2 linked regions of the Drosophila melanogaster genome follow. The protein of the gene in region 1 interacts with the protein of each later gene in a pairwise test. Each region holds a gene or a part of one and is shown on either strand. Other genes may lie near its edges.

Evidence for each region.
Region 2: the proteins of Vm32E (region 1) and Hey interact in a two-hybrid assay, tested with the Drosophila melanogaster proteins (one large-scale study listed by BioGRID).

The regions. Positions count from the first base shown.
Region 1 is NT_033779.5:11,168,161-11,174,615, reverse strand, and holds Vm32E (vitelline membrane 32E), read left to right. Parts: upstream 1-2,950; 5' UTR 2,951-2,981; coding exon 2,982-3,332; 3' UTR 3,333-3,449; downstream 3,450-6,455. UniProt on the Drosophila melanogaster protein: Major early eggshell protein.
Region 2 is NT_033778.4:7,992,690-8,001,488, forward strand, and holds Hey (Hairy/E(spl)-related with YRPW motif), read right to left. Parts: upstream 5,590-8,799; 5' UTR 5,404-5,589; coding exon 5,144-5,403; intron 4,731-5,143; coding exon 4,516-4,730; intron 3,775-4,515; coding exon 2,972-3,774; 3' UTR 2,749-2,971; downstream 1-2,748. Other genes in the region: Dic3 (dicarboxylate carrier 3), read right to left, coding at 1,205-1,655, 1,826-2,238; CG11191 (uncharacterized protein), read right to left, coding at 8,192-8,799. UniProt on the Drosophila melanogaster protein: Transcriptional repressor which acts as a downstream effector of Notch signaling.

The DNA.
Region 1 (6,455 bases):
GCCTTGAATGGAATTTGAAAATCGATAAATGGCAATGGCGACGGAAATTGCTCTTCCATGGCGGTTGACACCGTGTTAATGGGCCACTTATAACGGCATTGTTAGCGCTACTTGCACACGGATCTCATCCACGGCCACTTAATGTGCATCTCCGCCATTCCCATTCCCACTACCATTGCCCATACCCGCCGGTTTGGGTCTTGTTAACCCCGCAGTGTTGTAGCCAATGCAGCTGCTTCTGTTTTTGGCCACAAAACGAGGACACGTGCCCCGTTCCGAAGGCATGAATTATAAGGAATCGCGAGCAACTGAAAGGTGTTTCGTTCGCTCGGCTTGCTGCTAATTAAATTTAATTTAAAACAAAGCTCGGCATTTCGTCAACGTTCGCGATTCGAGGATACCCCGTGCCATCTCGTCCTCCATCACCATCTCATAATTGACTGCTGCTGCTGCTGGTGGTAAAAAAAAAAAGGAAACAGGGTCTTAAATTACCGGCGGGAAAGTGTGGCAACACATCGAGTCCTTTTTTTTCGGCTCGATTAACTTAGATGCCGTAAAAAGTATTAGGCTGCAGCGAAACGACTGCTATTCCAGCCTTTGAAGCACTGCAAAAAAAAAAGATGTGTTACATATGCAACTTAAGTTATACACATAGTTATTTAAATATATTTTCAATCCCTCTGGTTCATTTATAGATAGAATAAAGTTACAACTGAAAGTTAATCAAAATTTAGTTAAAATGTGACTCATCCGATCAGCAAATGATTTGTGAATAACATTTTTTCTCGGTGCACGGAGGAGGAGGATGATGGCCATGGGCCAAGGACCAGCGACCATGGTGTATCCGGCGCCGAATCATCCGCTAAGTACCGAGACATGTTATATGCTTGTCTGCTTTTTTGCCCTTGGTGTTTGTCCCCATGTGTGCGTATGTTCTGGATCCTCCTCCTCAGCCGCAGGACCAAGTCAATGGAGCAAACGGCAGGAGCAGCTGGGTCAGTCTTAGTCGCTGTCTAAGCGAAGGCAGGTGGCTCGAGCCAATGCCGATTAAAGCCACTGATCTCAGTGAAGCGTCTAGAAAAAAAATTGAACGAAAACAAAGGAGTAGAAAGAAGGCCATAAAATATTTGAGAAGTGAAGGCCTACGGATTGTATGCTTAGTCAATAAAACAAAGGCTAAGTCTTAAATATTCATTGATCAGTTGCTGAACCAATAACCAATTAAAATCCACCTAAGATGGTGTATGTCCCAAGGCCATTATTCTATATAATATTACCCCACCCTGGACTACCTGCAATTGGAGTTCCAGTTAAGATGTATATCTTGGGGCCATGTCTGGATCGCACACACACACACACATACACACACGTACGCACACCGAAAACAAGGGCAGGTATTTGTTTACCGTTAGAGGGGGCAATCAAAACGGCTCTACACCCGAAAATTTCGATGGATCCACTTCGAAACGAAGGTGCCCCACTTTGAAGGCCAGCGGCAGGCGATCGGCACAAAGCCTATGATTAAAATTTAGGTCCGATCTTATACATATGTATGTATGTATGTATGTACGTATGTGGTGTGCTTTATATGGTGCATGTGCGTAATTGCCCGACCCAAAATCCAGCGGTCGCGATCCTTCTCAAATTAAAGTATACACCCCTCTTCGCTTTTCGGCGGGGAAAGTTACCTGCGGCCAAAGTTAGATTCAAAAACAATATCAACTTGAGGGGGGCTTTCGTTTTGGACAGACAGTTGCATGAGAAACTGTTTGTTATCATCAGCAAATTGTATAACTAAAGCCACAATTAGAGAAGGAATTATTGAACGAGACACAGGTTCCAAATCGAATAGTCATCAATCATAATTATAAATATTACATCTTAAGCTTAGAAAAGAATGGGCTAGTACACACATAGCTGTTTTACTTGCTGCTCTTACGAATTAAACCAATTATGCAAATAGATCTTTTTAAGCATTATTTTCTTACCAACCTTCCAGGAAACTATGTTTCTTATTTGCATAGAATATCATTCAAAAAACGGGTTGCAATTTATGCACTCTACATTCAAGTTTATGACTGTTTCGTTTTGGTCAATTAGGATTTCCATAATAAATGGACGCAGGTCAAATCGAGTTATGACTAAAAGATGACATAAATTTTCAATACAAATTTCCATTTATTGCTAAATTATCGTAAAAGAAACTGAAACAGATAGGTTGGCAAAAAGATCTCTATATGCCGAATATAATAAAAAGAAAACTTAATCAATTAGAATATTTGCAAATTGTGTAAATTTATATTTTTATGTTCTGACTTTATAAATAAACTGAAAACTTTATAAACATTTTTTTATCGTAACATGAAATTATGTGTTTGAAGGCAAAACTCTTGAAATACGATAAACTAGTCTCCAAGGCGAAATCTAGATTGTGGTTTGTGTACTCGCTAAGGAGACCTGATCTGTTCTGAGTGTACCCGCTAGGGGTCGCTCTACTACATACGATAAGATAAAATGACTTCTTTATTTAATTTTTAGGATAACCATTTTTAAAAGCGAAGTATTTATTAGCAGATTAAATGTTACATACGTTTTATTAACTTGTAAAAATTGGCAGCCGTTTAAGTAATACTTAAATATCGTACTTGGGAAATTGGGTCAATAAACAGCTGAGGTCCAAAAAATGAGCAAATTCACATTCGATTTGCACTTTGGACGCAATAATTTAATTGCTCTGCTATTAAGCTCTGCAAAAAGGGAGACAGACTGCATGGTGACAGTAATTTTTTGCCACATTAGGTGATAATCGTCTGCTTGTTTCTAGTTTGCGACCCGTTTAAATTGCTTGCTATGTGATGGCACTGCATTTCTTAAAGCCTACGGTAAAAGTGCCGAGTTTTGTTATTAAAGTCAACGCATGAATGCTATAAGAATGCCACCATTGGTCACTAAATCGACAGTTGTAAATCACTTAGTTCATCATGCAGATCGTTGCTCTCACCCTCGTTGCGTTTGTGGCCATTGCCGGTGCCTCCTGCCCGTATGCAGCTCCAGCTCCAGCTTATTCAGCGCCCGCTGCTTCTTCTGGCTACCCGGCTCCACCATGCCCCACCAACTACCTGTTCAGCTGCCAGCCCAATTTGGCCCCAGCTCCTTGTGCCCAGGAGGCCCCAGCCTATGGATCCGCCGGCGCCTACACAGAACAGGTGCCCCACTACGTGGGAAGTCCCAACCGAGAGCAGTTGCAGCAATTTCACCAGCGCATTGGAATGGCGGCTTTGATGGAGGAACTGCGCGGCTTGGGCCAAGGAATCCAGGGTCAACAGTACTAGTGGCAAAAAAAAATTCATGTGAAGAATGTTTTCGAATTAAATCCGTCTATGCTTTAATTGGACTTTATACTATGGAACAAAAAAAAATTGGGATTGGAGATAAGGAAAACTGGTAACAAAAAAAAAAATGATTTAAAACTTATTTTTTGTTGTTTTGTGCCCTCTGCCCTCCGATTCCTTTTCGAAAGCCATAAAGAACATGTGTCGTCTGTATTTATATATTCTAACTGCAGCCGTCCTAAAACGGATTATTGCAAGCCATTTTCCGAGCGATTCACCTCTTGAATTTCCCATTACTAGATGATTCTCACGAGATCGTCTCCGTTGGTTTCTCTCGCGGGCATTTTTGTCAATGGATGCGGCGCGGGTGCCAAATATATTGTCAGTCGAAATTGCTGTCTTGTGCGGTCGGTCGCATATTCAGACGTCTCCACCGCGAACCGCTTGAAACTGCTCCACATTGCTTTGCCCAAGTGGATCACGCCCTCGGAACATAAATCCCATCAAGCATATAGATTCCAGCAGGATGGCGTTGCGTTCGTTCAAATCGCTGCCATGTGACGGACTCTAAGTCCCATAGCCACATTTGTGACCCAATTCGATGAGCAATTGTGTCTGTGTGCCTGTGTGTGTGTGTGTGTGTGCGGGGCTCTTGGCCATTTAACGATTAGTGGCCATAACGGCAAAGTGTTTGTTTATTTTGTTGTGCGACCGCAGAAACGATTCCAAAAATGATTGCATAATTGACTTTTGGCGGGGGGGTGTAGAAATCGCGCTAGACGCTCAGCATAAATTTCGGCTTGTGTTCCTATACCGTTTGTGATTCCAAAACAATTTGTGAGCCATGAAAAAGCTTCATCTGGGTGCCAAGCACAAGGGCAAGTCCTACAAGCCCTTTAGGAATAAGAATCGTCGGGTAAGTGAAAGTAATAGATCGGTTAGACATCCTAATCTTACCCCTTATTTTAATGTGCCCCCGGGCCCGGGCGGAATTCGTATATTTTTATCCACTCGATCGCTCGCAGACTGCTCGCCCAGCTTGTCAGGCTATTCACGACCATTTAAATACACACATACACGAAGTGAATACAGTGCGTACCAGAATGTAGTGCCAACGCGGCGGATGAGTGATTTTCCCAAGCGAAAGGGATGCGAGATTACTCATACGCCTAGTTTTTCTGGGCACGAAACTATAAAGCAAAGCAGTTGCATGGTTATAATGCAACATATGTTATACATTTATATTTATTGTAAGTGATGTGTAATTTATAGTAAGAACAGTCGCCTTGATAATAAACTAATTGGAGTAAAGTGGTTGTATTGTAAGAGGCTTCGTTTGTTTTTCACCTGCACTTCAATTAATTTCTTGTTATTTAATTATAATACTCACTGTATTTGTATGACAACGGTTGTTTTTAAATTTAAATTCTCTTAGTTCTCCCACAGACAATTTGGGGGCCAAAGAGGCTATCACACCTCTTACTCATCTTCGAAATCTGCATAGTTGTAAGCATAGTGAATGTTGATACTTTTGCGATACTCAGAAATCACTAATTTGTTGTTATGCGTTTGCAACTAGACTAAAAGAACTTTGCAAAATTCGTAAAAATATATGCTTAAGCATGTTTAAATGGAATATACATAAGTGTCTGTATAGTTATGCATTTTACATTAAAACATCGTTGTATACGATTAACTCGATATATTCTGAGTTATTTTAATTACCGAGACTAGTTTTTAAAAAATGTCTATTCAAGACCACTAAATTGCATTACTCTACATTACCCTAACTATTTATATATCTAATACGTTCATTGCAATTGGGAATCATGAATGTTATTTGAGCCTTTTGAAAACGCTGCAATGCCAAACGGCAGGTGAGGAGCAATTCGCTGACGCGCGGTCATCGACGGTGCCGGAAAAATGGGAAACATTCGGGCTGACCATGAAAATATTTGCCAAAGGGCTGAGGGGCAAAATTGCACTGGAATCCGAAAGCAGAGCGTTGACCCACCCGAAGAAAAAAACTATCCCACCGAGCGTTGGAAGTGGGTGGCTGTGGGTGGCGATGCGATGTCGATGACAACGAAAGTTCATTACTAGTTGTTGGGCACTTTGCCCGCTGCAAAGTATGATGGGACTTTTGGGCAATCGGCGAAAGGTAAACAAAGAATCGACCCGAGGTACACAAACAACACCCGACCCCCTCGCCCCACTTCAATTCAGCGATTAAAGGGGGATCCCCTTTTGTTTTACATATTGCCTTTTGGAAATGTGTAAACGCAAATTGAGACCATCGCCCGCGACCTTCCCCGTTAACGGTTAAATGGGGAGAGCCGGAGAAAGAGTGTGGAGAAGAATAAATGCCGACGCATGCGCGGAGCAAAAGTGGAGAATTGCTTTCTGCGCATGCTCCTCTGCTCTTTTGTTCTCTCAGCCTCCTACTCTCTCGCATCCTGTCACTTTAAGTGAGGAAATGGAAAACGGAATGTTTACGTTATGGCCACAGTGAGATACAAAATTGATATAAACCAAGTCGATATTGAAAGGCTTATTGAATGGGAATAAAACACTTTTCTTTCTAATTCTAATTTAACAAGTACTTTAAAGAGCTAAATAAAAAGTAGTTTATTAATGCCATTGTTTTTTGTATATACATATATAAAATTTCAACTATTACATTTGCTTTCCAAAACATTGATTATTTTTAGAATTGTTGAAAACATAATATTAAAGCAACAATTATTTTAAACATCTATCACATGAATAAATTTGTGATACTAAAACTACCAGCCTACATTGAACATTTTTAAAGTGGTTGTAAAGTGGATGTAAATTTTAAATGCCAATGCTACGATTAATTTAAAAAATATGTGTGTGCTTGAGAGACCTGCGACCAACAGCTGTAACCCTTTTCGTTTGGAGGTTTTGGCGCTCGCAGACAATTATCGGGGCTGCCAACAGGTGGACCGCCACTACCCCTTTGTCCCCCTTGCCCCCTTGAGAGTTGTGGGTGCTATCGATTTTCCAGGCACACCACTGACCGCCGATGACAGCGCGCTCATTTCGATGGAGATTTTGTGGGGGCGGATAGCTCCACGCCTCTCCCATTTTAGCACAAGC
Region 2 (8,799 bases), on another chromosome or scaffold:
ATTACGTCGAAGGCGATGGTGTTGACGCCGATCTCTGGGCCAGGACGAACCACCCCTGTCTGGGGCATATTGTAATCGCTGGTGGGTGGTGGTTGCGCTGCTCGCCGCGTGGGAAGTCAAAGCTCAGGGGTCTCTCACATGGTCGCGAACGTGGTAGGTCGCCCGAATCACTTATATGTGTTTAACCGGCAAAAAGAAATTAATGCGCAAAAGATTGTTTCTCGTTTTTTATTGCCAGGGGTGGTGTTTCGCAATGTTCCCACACTCCATGGACAGCAATTTCGGTTGCTGGGTTTCAATGTAATTGTAATTTTGGTTTCAAGTGATTTTTGTGGGCCAAGAGAACAAATTACAAGTAGCTAAAGTGTGTTGAATTAAATTAAACTATGAGCTCGGGATTTGCGATAAATATTTCAATTCTTAAGCATGCGAATTGAGGAAATTAACTTAGAATTAAGTAAAGGTTTCTAGACTAGCATTCCTAACAATTGTTTCATTTTGCATTGCATTGTTTTTAACCGCTTTTCATCTAATTTCTGGGTCATTAGAACGTTTTGCTCGTTAGTTTACCATTGGAACCAAAACAGAAACCCTTTTTTCGGGAACATGTTGAGCAGCTTAGGTAGCCACCAGTCCCTCTAGAAACACATTTGGCCTACGAAAGCACCCTAAACTAAACTAATATGCCAGCGTATATTAAAATATTTTAACCCTGCTACCTTTGTGACACTGTTTCCCTTTTGGGGATTATGTTTCTGGAGCAGGGACAAGATCCTGCGGTCGCCAGCTTTCCAGTTTTCCTCGATAATTTCCCGTTCCTCGTGGTGTTCGGGGTTGCGACCCCTGCACCTTGCTAACCCCGCTCCCTAATTACGAGTGCAGCGAGTGTGCAGCCGGCTTAGCTAACCGCCGCGGATTGGGTGCTCATGTGTTTATTATTGCTGGGTATGCAAATTTCATAAACCGTGAGCGGCATTCATTGACCCCCAGAGCTCGCTGACCAGCGGCTAGTGGTCGGTGGTCGATGGTCAGCGGTCAGCGGTTCTCGTTGGTCCAGCGATGCTAATGAGCACAGTGGCTGCTGATTAGACCCGGATTACTTCCGATTCAATGGTCTGGTATGAAAGATTCTATATTTTCAAATCACGTGTATAAAATACAATTTATGTAAAAATGCCAAATGGATACGAATTTTGGGGCATCCCTACTTGTCAGGTGGCAGATATCCAAATCGCATTCGCGCCTGCTCGTACAAAACGAAGGTGATAATCGTATTGGGTGACACTCGTATCAGGGCCGGAATGAATCCCTTGTAGAAGGCCAATGGGCCCTGTTTGGCGGTACTCAGAAAAGCACCTCCGATCCCGGAGAACTCCCCCGGCTGGGCGTTCATGAAAGTCGTCTTGATCACATCGAGCGGCTGCGTTATCACCACGGCAATGCATCCAGCTATCGTGGATGTGGCAAAGTGCAGTGGTACTCCCTCTCCTGCCCCCGTTGCGATCTTGAGCATCTGCTTTACTTGGTCGTAGGCTGCATTCGTTCCGATGGTCAGCAGGACTGCCCTGGAAACGGCCGGCACTGTGCCGCGGAAGAGACTGGACACGCCCTCCTCTTTGTAGATGCGGAAAAGGCCGTCGAAAACGTGCTTGTAGCTGCGGAATTCGTCTTAATTATATGACTCGTACGTATGGGGGGAAGAAATTTGCTGTCCTAATGACTAATTATCAATAGCAAACCAAAAAAGCACGTGGAGATGAAGACAAACGAACAGATGGACAAAGTCTGGGAGATCTATGGTACAGGAGCCCCCGGTAGTACTCACTTACGTCGCTTCTCCTCCGGCAACTTGACGTCGTTCTGGAGTCGCACTGTGACCACGTCCCCGGGTACACCCACAATCCCACCGACGATTCCCGCAAAGGTGGCCAGGGCCATCTTGGAACTAACTTTTTGCGTGTCGACGTAGTCCTTACCGGCCTCGTACAAGGCGAAGCGAGTGGTGGTATAGGTCAGCTGGCGAAACCAGGAGGCCGAAATGCCATTGTAAAAGCCCAAGATTCCGCTCCGCTCGTGTATGCCTTTAAGGATCTCCCCCACGGTCTTCCGGTCCGCTTGGGATTGGGTCTGCAGCTGTACCTTGATGAGATCAATCGGATGGGTGCCGGTGACTGCGATTGCAGCGCAAACCCCTCCAAACCACCAGCGCGGGAGGCGCCTCGAACTGTCTTCTCCCATAGACCGAACTTAATTTCTTGGAATTTTTTTTTAGAAACCCTAAGCTATCTGACGTGTAAAACTAAAAAGAATTCGGTAAATTTTTCGCTGCAACGAATTGTTCCCATTTAGCTAAGGATAATTCAGCCGCTATGACGGCGAACTGGTAGTCCTCGCAGTGACAAAGCGCACCTCAAGAATGTTCGTTAAAATTAATATTTTCTCTGATAATCCAATAATAGCACTAATCAAAGTATGCGTCATTGATATACCTCAAATTTTTGAATGTGGATCGTCACTACTTGTTTAAACTTTTTTGATTGTTTTTAATAATTATACCCGTTACTCGTGGATTATATATATTCTTATATATTATATATTATATATATATTTTTGATCGGAATCAATACCTGATTCAATCTGGCCATGTCCGTCTGTCCGTCTGTATGAACGTCGAGATTTCACGAAATATAACAACTAGAAAGGCTTTCCTGATCCGAATATCAATTATCAAGCGAGTTTCAACATATTCACTTATACACTCATGCGTTTATTTACAATAGATTCACAAAGTGTTCAAAGTTATAGTTATCATAGGGTATAACTTAAGCTTAAAGGCTTACGGGACTAGCTAATCTCACTGCGTTGTTTCTCCATTTTTTTCTCTCTGTGTAGGATGCGAAACTTAAGACTATCACACTTGGTCTGCTCTGACTAGAGGTTGAAATATCCCTTCTGAGGCTTATGCCCACAATCAATAGGCCATCTCGGCGCCCCAAGGACGATAGGGCTTTGCTCCGTTGGGAGTGGCGTACTGCAGCACACTGGAGTTGTTGTAGTCCTGGCCTGGCAGTCCGCTGACCGGATACTGAGGAGCAGCACTATAGCTAAGGCTATCGGAACCTATGGCCGCTGGACGATTGCTGTTGGTCAGCTCTATGTAGGTGGGAACCTGCTGCTCGGAATGCACTGCGCTGTGGTCGTGGGTATAGTGTTGCTGCTGCGTCGGCTGAGGTGTTGTCTGCGTCCGTTGCTGTTGCTGCTGATGCTGCTGCTGTTGGTGTTGCTGCTGCTGCTGCTGTTGCTGCTGCTGTTGCTGCTGCTGTTGGCTGCTGCTGTCAGAGTGGAGATCATGGCTGGGCAGCGATTCAGTTACGGCACTTCCACTTGTCCGCGAGACACTGGTGCGTCCTCCCAGTTGCTGAGCCTGCTGAGAGGGCGAGGCACTTAGTGTGGGGTAGCTGGACACATAGGCACCCGGGTTGGCTGGCGCCGCATAGCTCTGGTAGGGAGCAGCCGCACAGTTTGGCTGATAGCCGGAGGAGCTGGGAGCAGCCGGAGACCAGCCACCCGGACTGGCGCAGCTCTTGGCCGACAGTTCGCGCTGCTGCACAAAGTACTGGAGGTGGGACATAAGGCGCAGGCGCAGAGGATCCTGAATGTCCATGCCCTCGATGGTGACCAAATAGCGGGCCACCTCTGCGGCGCACTCGCGGAACCCAATGATATGGTAGTCCATGGCCACTCGCTGCGGATCATAGCTAAGCGAGTCGAGAGCTGCAACAAGATACGAGGAGGTGGAGAAAGTCAATAAGCTGTCTAATCCCAGTTCAGGCAAACAATTAAAATAGCTGTTCCCACGCGACGAGCATAAAGAACAACCCCCATGTCCTTCGGCGGGATGGCTTGTTGTGAGGTGGCTATCGGGGGGTGAAAGCCCGCGCCTGGCTACAAGGTTGCCATCGTGGTGGTGCCGCTACTGAGCGTGGGAAGCCCCGAGATTCGAGATTCACTTGAGCGCTAGGCTGGCGCTGGTGGTGGTGGTCCTGCTTTGCCTACGGCAATCATAATTTTCCCACAATTCGACCCTGTTCGGGACAACAGGTCAGGATTGTTTACCCAGATTTGTGATAATTTGCCGCATATTGTATTTAATATCGTTACTCAATTGTTTCCCACAGCGGCTTGCGTTTAGGGATTCTGCTTGCAGTTTTTCCCATTCCAATTTTTTATAATGTATTGAAGTTCATATGTATGTCAGATATGCCTTGATTAATTAGTGCGCTAAATGGGCCCTAATGTAATATTAACTGTCGAAATAAGAAATTACTTTCTTTACACTTTACTTCTTTTAGTTAACCAACTTAGTTGGCTGCCCAAGTTAACCCTCTATTTGCTCCTATTGTGATTAATGACCCATAGAAGCGTTTAACTTCAGTGAGGAGGTCTGTGGTGCAGCTAGCCTATTTGCTTTTTAAAACCTCTTTAAGCTAGCTCAAGTGGGCTTGGTAAACTTACTTTTAGACTGCAGACTCTTGAGATGCTCCACGGTCAGCTGAAGGATTTCGGCCTTCTCCAGCTTGGCGGATCCCTGCTTCTCGTAGGCGGAGGGCACCAGGCGCTTGAGTTCGGTGAGCGAGGAGTTGATCCGATCCCGCCGCTTCTTCTCGATCACTCCGCGTCGCTTCTTGCGGCTCATCAGTTGGCAGCTGCCCGGCTCACTGGGCGAGATTCTAATGGAACAGAGGAAAGGGTTTCTATTAGCTATGGATTGAAGTTAATGATAGATTCTTAATCTTAATATCTTAATCTTTCATAGACTGAAAAACACTCTATGGTGTTACTAAAAAAACCTCTAAGTTACAGAACATTTTAAAATCTATCTTTTCTTAAAACCCTATAGTTTAGTGATTTATATTTTGATGGTTTATCAGCAACTTTGCGTTAAGTGGAGTTATCCATGACTTCGATTCACTAAGTAAATATCATGACGCACTATTTTTTTTAGCAACATAAAACGTTTGCACATCGCATGGTATTTTCAAAGGTTTCATTTTACAAGACAACTCCTAACTTGGGAACTGCGAATAGCTTTTTGTGCACTAAATTGAAAAACAAATTTTGATAAGAAGTCACGAGTACGCACTGTTCCTTGGAGGACTCCTCGGAGTAGAGATCGTCGCAGTCGCTCTCGGAAAGCGTCCGCTTCAGGCTGCCGATGCCGTGGCTATGGCCCTGGCTATGCCCGTGGCTGTGGTTGCTGTGGGCGCTGTGGTGGCTCTGCGGCGGCGGCACCCAGTGGCTCTGGGGTGTGGTGGCGGTGGCGCCGGGCATGACCACGCCGGGTCCGGCGGCGTAGCCCCAGTGATGCAGCGATGGCGCATTGACGTGCATGTTGTGATCCATTGTGTGTGGTGACCAGTGTTTACTCGCTGCTCCTGCGCACTTGACACTACTGTGTTGATGTTGCTGTTGCTGAGCTGTAGCTTTGCGTGCTGCTAGTTGCAGAGGCAGATGCAGTTGGCGGCTAGACCGGGCTGGCGGAGCTAGTTTGAGCACGTGACTTATCGTGTGCGCGAACGGCGTTCGACTGATTCTGTAGCACACGTCGAGCGGACGACCTGCCCTCCGCTGCCGCCGCTCAACCCCTTTTTACCGCCTGCGGCAGCCGTCCAATAAGATGCAGCAGCAACCACCCCCTGGCAACGCGCAGCGCGTGCTTGCCGAGATTGGGGTAGGAAACGGGAAGCAAACATATTCGCCGCGCGGCGATCGCCGCCAAGTGAGCAAGTGAGAGTGTGCGACAAGGAGCGACCAGCGCCGGCAAATGAGCAAGCCTCTGTCATCGATTCATCCGATTGTATCGCCCGACCATCTGATATAGCCTTTCAGCAGCCTCTAAAGCATCTAAAGCATCTAAAGCATCTGCAGCACGGCCTTTAATCGGCGCCGTGGGCGACAAACTGGCGGCGTCCGCCGTCCACTTGTTTGCCGCTGGAGCGGCTGCACCCGTCCATGGAACTCAAACTGGAGCACGCGCCGGTCGTGTGGCATCGCGTGGCGCCGGGTAAAGCCCCAACAAGTGCAACAGCCGCCGTTGACCTCTATCTGTGCAGTGGGACGCGTGCTGGTGGGTGGCCCACACAGTTCTAGGTCAGTGCCGGCTCAAGGTTGCGGCATCCCGGGTCCGGAATGGGAACGGGAACATCCACAGGTGCAGAAGCAGGAGCAGGAGACGAGATAACAACGACTGCGGCAGCAGGTGACCGAAGTTGACCTAGAAATTGCCCGAGGTAAAATCGACTTGTTTACCTAGAAATATGCTAATGCGGAAATAATTCACTTTAATGTTATCGAAAGCAGCGTTTCATCACAAAGGGATATAAGGAACTTGGATGGCGACGGTAAAACGTAAATATGTTGTACAATTTTACGAAAAAGCAGACGTGAGCTTTATCTTTTTCTTTATCTTTTTGATTTGCCATTATAAACTCTTAGATGCGCTTTGTCACTGCATTTCGAATATTCACATGATTTAATCCATTCTAAATTTTTTGCTGAATTGGCTAATCTTATAACTTCCTTAATTGTTCCTTGTAATTGTATGAACGCTGAGCTCTCGGGAACTATAAAAGCATGAATGTAAAACTAGTTACTAGGATTAAGAGCTAGATTGTTACAGAAGATTGCAACGCCTACTCTTAAGGACACAAACCGGCTAAAACTGCCACGTCCATACTTTTGCAAAATTGTCATATTTTTTAAAAATATTTTGGCCACTCCCAGTCTAATGGCCACAAGCTGTCAATCTAAAACTTTTGAAAAATGTTTTGATATTTTTGATTTCACTATTTTTTTTGACAGCTTTGATCGCTATTCCACCAAAATTTGTCAGTTTTTCTAATGATTTTACAAGCTGAGATAGTTAACATCGAAATTAACGTTCTGTCTGTTTTGGTTAATGTTTCCCCATTAACTTTAATGTAATATATTTTGACAGTATTGTGTTCATAAATTCAATATAACAAGCTGATCAATGTCAATATTACCTATAAATTTTATTATGATAAACTATTTCATCCAAAATTTCCCATTATTTCTTATATCAGCCGCACGGAATGTGTGTTTAAAGCTAGCAGTAGATTAAAAACAATTAAAATGCGAATGAAAAACAGTATACGGTGGAGCTGATATATTTACATATATATGTACGTTGTGGTTTGACATAACTTTCCCTAATAAAAACTATACTTGAATTATCGTTATGCAAAAATAATTCTTCTGTAGATATCTATGTTAAAATGTTCATTTCAACTCCTTTGTCCTGTCACCCTAAAGAATCCCAATATTGCTATATGAATCCCTATACTATTGTATATACTTTTATATCCCTTTACTATTATATGTTGCAATTTCGCATATAACTGGAAATATCATTAGTTATTCTCCCCCACAAAATGATTTAGTGTAGCATTTCTCCCATTTTCTCGATTAATTTCGATGGTCGAGGCGTAAGCTTGACTATAATGGAGCCCCGTATCAATTTCAAAAACGTACATCAAAATCGAAAATTATAAAAAGTGCTTTTCATTTGATTCGGCATGCTGTCGCTCAGGTTTCGAGTGCGGCAAGCAGCAAAGTGAAAATGCCTAATGTCTAATGGCCAATGCCAGTGGCAGTGCCAGCGTGGGACAAACTCGCTCCGAATCGCCGGAACCCACCCCAAATCAAGTGGATGAATAGTGGCGGGCAAGTTGCACCACCGACAACGGGACGAACCCACGAAATCGCAGCCGTGGCTCGTGGGAAAGCCAAAGGTCTACGGATTCTCACGAGCGTCCAGCACACGTGCGGGTCGTGCGCCGGAATGGATCGATGGATGGATGGGTGGGCGATGAACTTACTCCCACCCACGGGGCACAGGGCATTCGCATTCGTATTCGCATTCTGAAGTGCATTACTCAAGGTATGGAGCCAAAGGTATGGCGCCGCACACACATACACACTTTATTGTTAATGGATATTCTCGAAAACAACTTTCTATAATGAAAATTGCGGTCTACCGACTCAAATACTCGATTACATATATGTATAATATACTCGTATGTAGGTAATTCTCACAAGACTGGTTTTCGTGCTCTATCGCTGGACGCAAAGTGGAGGTTACAAAGCCGCCGAGTGTCCGTTTCCGGTCTCAGAAGCTCCTAAGGCAAAGATTGCAGTTGTTTCCGCCTACTGCATTGTCGTGTCGGTGCAGCTCCAGGCTGAGGGGCTCCGTGTCGTCCACCCAGGTCTCCAGGGTGCAGGAGCTGGACTGGTGGCTGGACTTTTGCGACTGGGAGAGGGATCTGGTGGCCGCCGCCGCCTGCCGCCACCTGGCTTCGAAGTCATCCCAGCGATCGCAGGCGTCGTCGTCCAGGGAGTTCCCGTTGATGTCCCACTTAACAATGGGGAAGTCGTCGTGCGGTGGCTCCATGATCACCACGCTGTGGTAGTTGCCCTCCAGCTTGGAGCCCAGGCTGATACTGCAGGGATGGTAGCGGCTGGGCGTGGGAATCCTTTGCTGCACTTGTTGTTTCCTAGGAGTTGCCTGCTGCAGCACTTGCTGTTTCCGCGGAGTAGCCTGCTGCTGCTGCTGCTGCTCTGGCTGCTCCTCCTTCTGTTCCTCCAGCTGCAGATCCAGACTGGAATTGGAGGGCGTGTGCCGCAGGTAGCGTACATTCGCCTTGTATTTCACCCGCTCGAACTCGATGGTCGTTAGTGGTGTGTCCAACACCTCGTAGTTGCCGCAGCTCATCATGT